Linked DNA regions of Canis lupus familiaris. The protein of the gene in region 2 interacts with the protein of the main gene of each other region in a pairwise test. Links are inferred from orthologs where the notes say so. Each region holds a gene or a part of one and is shown on either strand. Other genes may lie near its edges.

Region 1 (3,743 bases), on a different chromosome or scaffold from region 2:
GCTGCCTACCCCAGAGGCCAGCCATACCTACCCCCCCAGCTGTCCCCAACCACCCAGGGAAGGGGTGCACAGGCCGGGCCAGCCTTTGAGACACCTGTGCCCTTGGGCTCCCCCAACACCACCAGGCCCTTTAAGACTCCCCAAACATACCACCCCCAAACCCTGCCGACCCCCTACCCGGAAGCTGAAACTCAGCAGTACAGGAAGAAGATCACATGCACTCACACAGCTGCACTAGCAGAAGAAACCAATCATGAGTCTCTGGGGAGTAACCTCTGACTTCCTAAATGAGTATTCCAAGCTCAGCCAGCCCTACTAGTTCAATGGGATGGGCCCAGAAGATGTTACCCTGCCTGGAGGGGCAAGACTAGTAATGTCTATTGAGCTTCAGGATGCCTGGTTGGCTCAGAAGTTGAGTGTCTGCTTTTGTCTCAGGGTGTGATCCTAGGGTCTGGGGATCGAGTCCCGCATCAGGCTCCCTGCAAGGAGCCTGCTTCTCCCTCTGCCTGTGTTTCTGCCTCTCTCTGTGTCTCATAAATAAATAAATAAATAACATCTTAAAAAAAAAAAAGTTTGTTGAGCCTTTCCCGGGCCAGTTACAATACTCTATCCTATTTTCTTTCTTTTTTGCAACAGCCATCCAAAGTACTAATTACCTTTACTTTGAGGCTCAGAGAAGTTCGGTAACATGCCCTTGTCATATATCCAGTCATGGAGATGACAGGCTTTGAGAGCTACAAAGCATACCAGACTTGGGTTCATGTCACCAGGTGGCACCATGCACAGTGCCCAGGAATGGACCCCTGAACCCCAGGAGAGTAGAGGCCTGGGGTCCAAGCAGAGGAGGGAGACAGAAGCATTTTCTGAGCAGGTGGACAAGGCAGGACAGAAATGAGAAGCACAGGGGTGCTGGATACTGCACTGGGGTGCTAGTCCTAGAATTGCCACCACTGATGGTGAGAGCCTCAAAAGTTGCTGTCTTGGGGCCTCAGTTCCCCCATGAGTCTGTGTGGACACTGCACACTGGGTGTGGCGACGACTTACACCCAGCCAGTCACTTGCATCCTTCTCTCCCTCACCTGGCTCTCTTCGCGGCCCCAGTCCCAGCTCAGAGACCGTTTCCAGGGGACACCGCCTGGCTGGTCCTATACCTTGGCCCCTTTCACCCTCTCCTCTACACTCACAGCTCCAGGCAAGACTCGTCCCGCCTACTTCTTGGGAGTCACACCTCAACCTTCCGTAGGCTGTCCCTTGTCCTGGCTTAGGCCGGAAGAGGTGCCTGTCTGCACAAATCTGGGACCACGGGGCAGTCTTTGGCATCCTAAAGTTAGGGAGTACAGCGTGTGCTTCTAGTGGATACCAATGCACAGACGCGCGCACACACTCACAACCAAGGATGACCTCTCTCCCGCCACCCCCCACTCCCAAGGTAGAGAGGGACAGGAGCCTCTCCAAGCCCCCAGCTCTGCCATCTTCCACTAGGTGGCAGCCCCCAACTCCCAGCGTCAGGAGAGAGATTCCCAAAAGGTGAGCCAACCCAACTGCGAGTGAGCAGGAAAAGTGGCCGGGAGAGGCGGAAGTTGGCTGGTCCCACCCCCCACGAGAGGAAGTACGGGAGCGGCAGACCCAACCCCCGCGTTCGGTCACCACCCCCCCGGCCCTGCTACCCTGGAGGGGGCAGGGCCACCAGCCCACTCGCAGCCCTCTGAGCTCCAGGACCAGGGCGCGCGCCTCTCTCGCTCCCAGTGCCCCGGGGACCACCCAGCACCACCAGCAGCAGCACCAGCAGCACCAGCAGCAGCACCCGGACCGGCCCGGAGCCGGCTCAAGAATGGGGTGGTCCCTGCTCTGGGGAAGGGGCTGCAGCTTCCGGAGCCGCTGGAGAGGGAGAGAGCCCCCTTCTCGTGGGGGTCACTGCAATCACTGCTTACCCCCGGCCCCCCGTAAAACTGCCTCCTGTGCATCGGAAAGCCCCAAAGGAGCTTCTCTGAGCCAGTCTTCTCTTGCCTCCCGGCTGAAACTCCAGACGAGCCTCAAGCCCTCACGTCCGCCCGGCCGAACTGCCGAGGAAGCGAGAGGTCTGCGCGGCCACCCTCCTTACCTGTGACCGGCCCCGCGCTCGCTGCGAAGCCGGGCCGGGCAGCTCGGGACTAGGGCCTGCGGCGCGACGGCCCGCCCACCTCCGTTCCCATTGGCCAGGCGTCCGGGCTGTCGCGCTCCTACTGGCTGCTGCTCGACGGTAGAGGCGGGGCCAGCCTGCAAAGCTCTGCTTTTTTTTCTTACTCAATTCGCGGTCGTCCCTCCCTTCTTCTCGCTTCCCACCCTCCCCCCTCCACTGTTTTATGGGATCATGTGATTGGAGAATCATGTGACGTCCTGGCCGGGCTCGGCCGGGCTGCGGGCGCCTGGCGGAGTCTTCCCGAGGTGGTGTGGCCCCGGAGTGCGTTGGCCGGCGAAGGGAGCTGCCCCTTAGGGGGTGCACTCCAGGGCGTTTACAGGATGTCTGCTTCTGGGTTAGGGACACCTGTGCATCCTGTTTCTTTTGTATTCAACGAACTCAGAATAAATGCTGGGCAGCCAGGCCCCGAAGGGAGGGTTGTGAGGGCAAGGATAGACAGCTCTCAGGCCCTTTCCTCAGGGTGCTCCTGGCCGGGTGTGAGTGGGTAGAGAGATGAGACAGGCTCACGTTCAATCTAATTTAAGGTGCAAGATCGTGTGCCAGGTATTAATGGATGTGTGTAGGGCAGAGGTGGAAGATTGGCTCTTGGCAGGGAGGAAAAGATTTAATTCTACCTTAAGGGCACTTTAAAAATTATTTATTTATTTATCTGAGAGAACGAGCATGAGCGGAGGGAGAGGGAGAAGCAGACTCCCTGCTGAGCAGGGAGCTGGACTGGGGCTTGATCCTAGACCCTAGGATCATGACCTGAGCCAACGGCAGATACTCAACCAAGTGAACCACCCAGGCGCCCCTTTAAGGACACCTTTTGGAGCTGAACCTGGGAGAATGTTAACTGGCAGGTGGACAGGGGTTGGCAAAGCTCCTGAGCAGGGGGTGTTAGGAAGAGCATTAGGAAACCAGATGGGAAGAGCAGCGTTGGGCAGGGATTAAATGCCAAGTACAACGTAGTGGGCTTGAGGAGCTGTTGGGTGCCTGACACGAGGCTTGGGCTGGGGGTGGGAGCATAGTGGAAGTGGCTTCCTCGTTAGAGTCAGCCTTGCCTTCCAGGAATTGAAATAACCGGTGAGGAGAGAAAGGTACTACACAGAACAGATTGGCCAGCAACAAGAGCCAGGCTGCTCCGTGCCAAAAGGCCATTTTGGCTCAGGCCAAAAATGGTTGATAGATGCACCAGGAAAGAGGAGAGGCCCAGAGAAAGCCCAGTGCCAGGCTAGGGGGACAGGCAGTGTTTGGTGGTACAGTGTGGATGGAGAGCACCACAGGCTCAACAAAGAGCTTGGGCAGAGGGGTGGCTGGGGGAGATGACAAACACCCCAATTCAGGGGTGGTGGCATTCTGTGTGTGGGAGTAGCAGGGTTGGGGAATTGTGTGTGGCAGTGGTGCTCAGCCTGGGGCTAGAGAGGGTCTGGAGAGTGTGTGAGGCTCCTGCTGAGAATCAGGACAACCCTGTACGCTAGTGACATTTGTACACAGTTTACCTCCTGAGTATCCTGAGGCAAGGGGAGGTCCCATTTATGCTTCCATTAATAAAGTATGGGCACACACATTTTTCATGAAATGT
Region 2 (3,743 bases):
TACTGGGAGGCTCTGGGAGGCTGAGGCAACTTTCCCTTAAAGCACCAGCCACACGGGGCTCCCCATGGCCAGCAGTAATGCCACCGTGAGCGCAGGCGCGATATGGTCACCCGTGGTTTGGCTTGCGTCCTCACCCAACACCTGTGCAGAATGGTGTCCCTAACTTTGATTTTAATGCCACGATCAGCTCCTGTTGACGCCTTGCTGGCCACAGGCTGCTGGCTGCTTATCTGGGCGCTGGATGAATGATTACAGTGTCAACACCTCCCCGAGCGCGCCCAGCCGCTACCTGTTACAGAAGTAGACGGCGTTGGCCGGGTTCAGCTCGATGGCTTTCCCATAGAAGTGCACGGCAGCTTCAAAGTTTTCTACCTTCATCTGCTCGTTTCCTAAAGGGAAAGAAAAAACAACGTATGCCCAGCTGTTCACGTCACATCCCAGGGGCCGAGACGTCCAGCCCAGCTCTCCCGGGCTTCTCCCTGAAGGTGCAAGACGTTGGGGAGGAGGGTCCGGGGGGCCAGGATGCAACACTCAGGGGTGCTGGGGTGTGGAGGAGGATCTGGGTTCTGGCCTGAGCCGGCACTGGGTGATGACCGTCACTGCTTTGGTCGTGACATTTGGAAACATAAGTCTCTTTGCTCCTTCTTTCACAAGAAACCAATTTTCACGAAATGTAATCTGAATGTAAAACTCACGTTTTCAAAGTGAATGACTCAGCGGCTTTTAGAAATTCACAAGTGTCCAACGCCACAACCTAATTCCAGAACGTTCCATTCCCCCCGCAAAAAAGTCCCTCCCCATGAGCAGTCACTCCTCACCCTCCCCTGGCCCCTGAGCCCCCTCCCCTGTGCGTGGGCGAGCCCGTCCTGGCTGTGTCACACACATGGACTCACACCCTGTGGGGCCTCCTGTATCTGGTTCCCTCCCTGAGCGTCGTGGGCTCAGGGTCCGTCCCTGGGGTGGTACATGTGGGCTAAGGGACATTCCAGAACATGGATACATCACGTTTTGTTCACCCTTTACCAGTTTATGGACATTTGGGCCGTTCTACCTTTTGGGTGCTGTGGACACACGCCTGCACTTGTCCTGGGTGTGGGAGGGGACTGGCTGGGCCACGTGCCCGCCGTGTGGCCACCGGGGAGCTGCGGGGAATGCCTTCCCTGGCGGCTGCCCCGCATACATCCCCGCGGGCCGAGCGCGGGGCTTATCCTCCCACATGCTGGCGCTGCGTGCTTAGGGGCCCGGCTCCCCTCCCACAGCTGCACCCCAGGGCCCCCCCGGCCCTGCCGCCCCGCAGGCCAGGTGGGTCAGGTGCCTGGTGGGGATGCAGTCTCAGCTCACCTTCGGTTTTGAGGCGCTCTGCCTCGGCTGAGTCCTCCTCTGAAGGCGGGGTCCGCTCGGGGCTCCTCAGGTCCTGCGGCACCTCCTGTCCCAAGGCAGACAAGTCGTTTGCAGGCAGAGGGCAACCCTACCGTCTCCTCCTCCAAAAAGCCCACACCCGCGGCCTCCCTCCTGCTCAGGGGCCACCCGAGGGCAGCTAGGCACTGTGGAGAGCACCTCAGGCCGGGGCCGGGCCCCCACTTCCCTGGTCCACAGCCGGGAAGCAGCCTGGGGGAGAACTCAGGTCTTGCATGGGTGCTTGGGGGCCCTGGCGACTCCTGCTGTTACGCCTATCCTGTGAAGCCCAGAAACTCACCTTGCCTGCAGCAGCTGCTTCAAATATTTCCGGCAGAGTCTGAGGGAGGGCGAGGTCATGGTCTTCCACTGTCACCCCAAAAGCAGTCTCCAGGCACTGGATTGCAACTGTGAGGTGGACAGAAGCATGTTCTTCTGAATGCAGCCCAGACTCTGGGGCTCTGGGGAGTCCCCTCTCTGTGAGACCCAGGTCAAAGGCCTGGCACATGGCAGGTGCCGAACCGCCAACTCCCACTGTGTCACTGTAGGCCGAGCCAGGTGGACGCCAAGGGGCTGGTGGCGGGGTCCGGGCAGAGGCCACTCAAGTGCCGGTCCAGCCTGGGATCCTGTCCCCCAGCCCTGTGCGGCTCCCAGGCGCTGTGGCCATTCCACCCTTTCTTTAAAATGAGCCTTTCTTCTCTGATCAGTGTGACTACGGTGGAGAATGTTCTGGAACCACACCTTGATGAAATATGGGGAGCTCACCAGAACTCCTGCAGGAAGCTGGGCCTGAGGTGACGGGGCTGGCTGTGTGGCGGGAAGCAGGGAGGACAGCGGGCCCACACGTACCTTCCAAGCTCTCCTGGGCGTCGGACGAGAGCCCCCCGTGCCGGAGCTGGTCGTGCAGGAACCGGATGATGGCGTAGGCCAGACGCTTCTTGTTATCCATCTTCAAACAGGAAGAGACAATGCCCTGGGGTTTTCAAGATCTGTGGAGCCAAGCCAGGGCCGTGAGGAGCACAGACCGAGGGCACGGGTGGCACCTGCTGCTCCAGGCTCCCCGGACCTCCGGGTGCTGGCTCACCAGGCCTGCACGAGCCCCAGGCCCAAGGAAGCCACTTTAAGTGCCCTGGGCAGGTCTTTTCTAAAGATTTTATTTATTTGACAGAGAAAGAGCATAAACACACGAGGGCACAAGAGCACAAGCAGGGGGCTGCAGCCGACGTCCCCCCCGCCCCGACTCTGGGGTCATGACCCAGGTGACCCGAGCCAAAGGCAGACACTTCACATCCTGAGCCCCCAGACGCCTCGCCTGGCCAGCTCTATCTGAAGAGTAAGTGAGGGGTAAACAGCTGGGAGGGGAGGGGCCCAGAGTAGCCCGAAAGGTGCAGGGGCACGGAGCCCCTTCCAGGCCGCCTGAAGGCCAGCTCTTGGTCCCTCTCCAAGTGCTGGACTCCCAGGCCGGGAGTGACCCTGCCTCAGGGACTCTGGGCCATGTCTGGGGACATCCGTGGTCACCACGATGGGGGTGCTCCTGGCATTGGGCCACGAGGACCTGGGATGTTGCTCAGCCCCCGGCTCCCAGGACGCCCACATAATGGAAAACTATCAGTTCCAGTGTCAGCCATGCCCAGGGGAGAGCCCTGGTCTGGAACATTCTGGGCAAGAGGGTTCTGCTACCTAAGGGTCTATGATGGGTCAGGCACGTCACGCAACACTGTGTCATCCCCTCCACACCACGACCTCCCTGGTCGCTCCCACCGACAAAAGCAACAGGTTGGGGACCGTGGCCTGTGAGGAGCGGCCGGCCCAAGGAACCCACAGCAGTCAGCACCTCGGTCTCCCCAAAACGCCTGCAGGGGGGTGAGCAGCCCGTGCCCCCACAGAAAACAAGGAGCGGGGCTCCTGCTGGCACTCTTGTTAGCTTGTTACCAGCCACGATGGTTCAACAAAGCCGGGGAGAGCCCGTCATGTGGCCCCAGGCTCCCCACGCAGGCCAGCGCCACACCGAGACGGTGCCTCCACTGGGCGCGTCTGCTCGGTCTCTGCTTCGTGGGAATCTGTGTCCCTTGACAGCTGCTTCTTCAAGTGGAGGAACCAGACACAGGAGGCCCCACGGGGTGTGAGCCCACGTGTGTGACACGTCCAGGACGGGGAGGGGGCTCGTGGGGGCCGGGGGGGATGGGGGTGAAGGCTATGGAGACAGTTTCTTTTTGGGGTGATGGAATGTTCTGGACTCAGAGAAGCGTAAATATACCAAAAACCACCATACTTTAAGGTAAACGATTTATACCTCAATTATAAAGGAAAAACTTAAAAAAAAAAAAACAAACCCATGTTCCGTAAGC

What was found.
Region 1: the proteins of SGTA (region 2) and GRN interact in binary tests that used the Homo sapiens proteins (3 or more experiments, as listed by UniProt). The two-hybrid records come from large-scale screens. The link is inferred for Canis lupus familiaris from reciprocal best matches to the Homo sapiens genes SGTA and GRN.

The regions. Positions count from the first base shown.
Region 1 is NC_049230.1:18,958,037-18,961,779, forward strand, and holds the start of GRN (progranulin), read right to left. Parts: upstream 2,255-3,743; 5' UTR 2,102-2,254; exon of another isoform or gene 1,932-2,101; intron 1-1,931. UniProt on the Homo sapiens protein: Secreted protein that acts as a key regulator of lysosomal function and as a growth factor involved in inflammation, wound healing and cell proliferation. Regulates protein trafficking to lysosomes, and also the activity of lysosomal enzymes.
Region 2 is NC_049241.1:56,912,087-56,915,829, reverse strand, and holds the start of SGTA (small glutamine-rich tetratricopeptide repeat-containing protein alpha), read right to left. Parts: upstream 2,345-3,743; coding exon 2,245-2,344; intron 1,804-2,244; coding exon 1,697-1,803; intron 1,427-1,696; coding exon 1,342-1,426; intron 390-1,341; coding exon 290-389; intron 1-289. UniProt on the Homo sapiens protein: Co-chaperone that binds misfolded and hydrophobic patches-containing client proteins in the cytosol. Mediates their targeting to the endoplasmic reticulum but also regulates their sorting to the proteasome when targeting fails.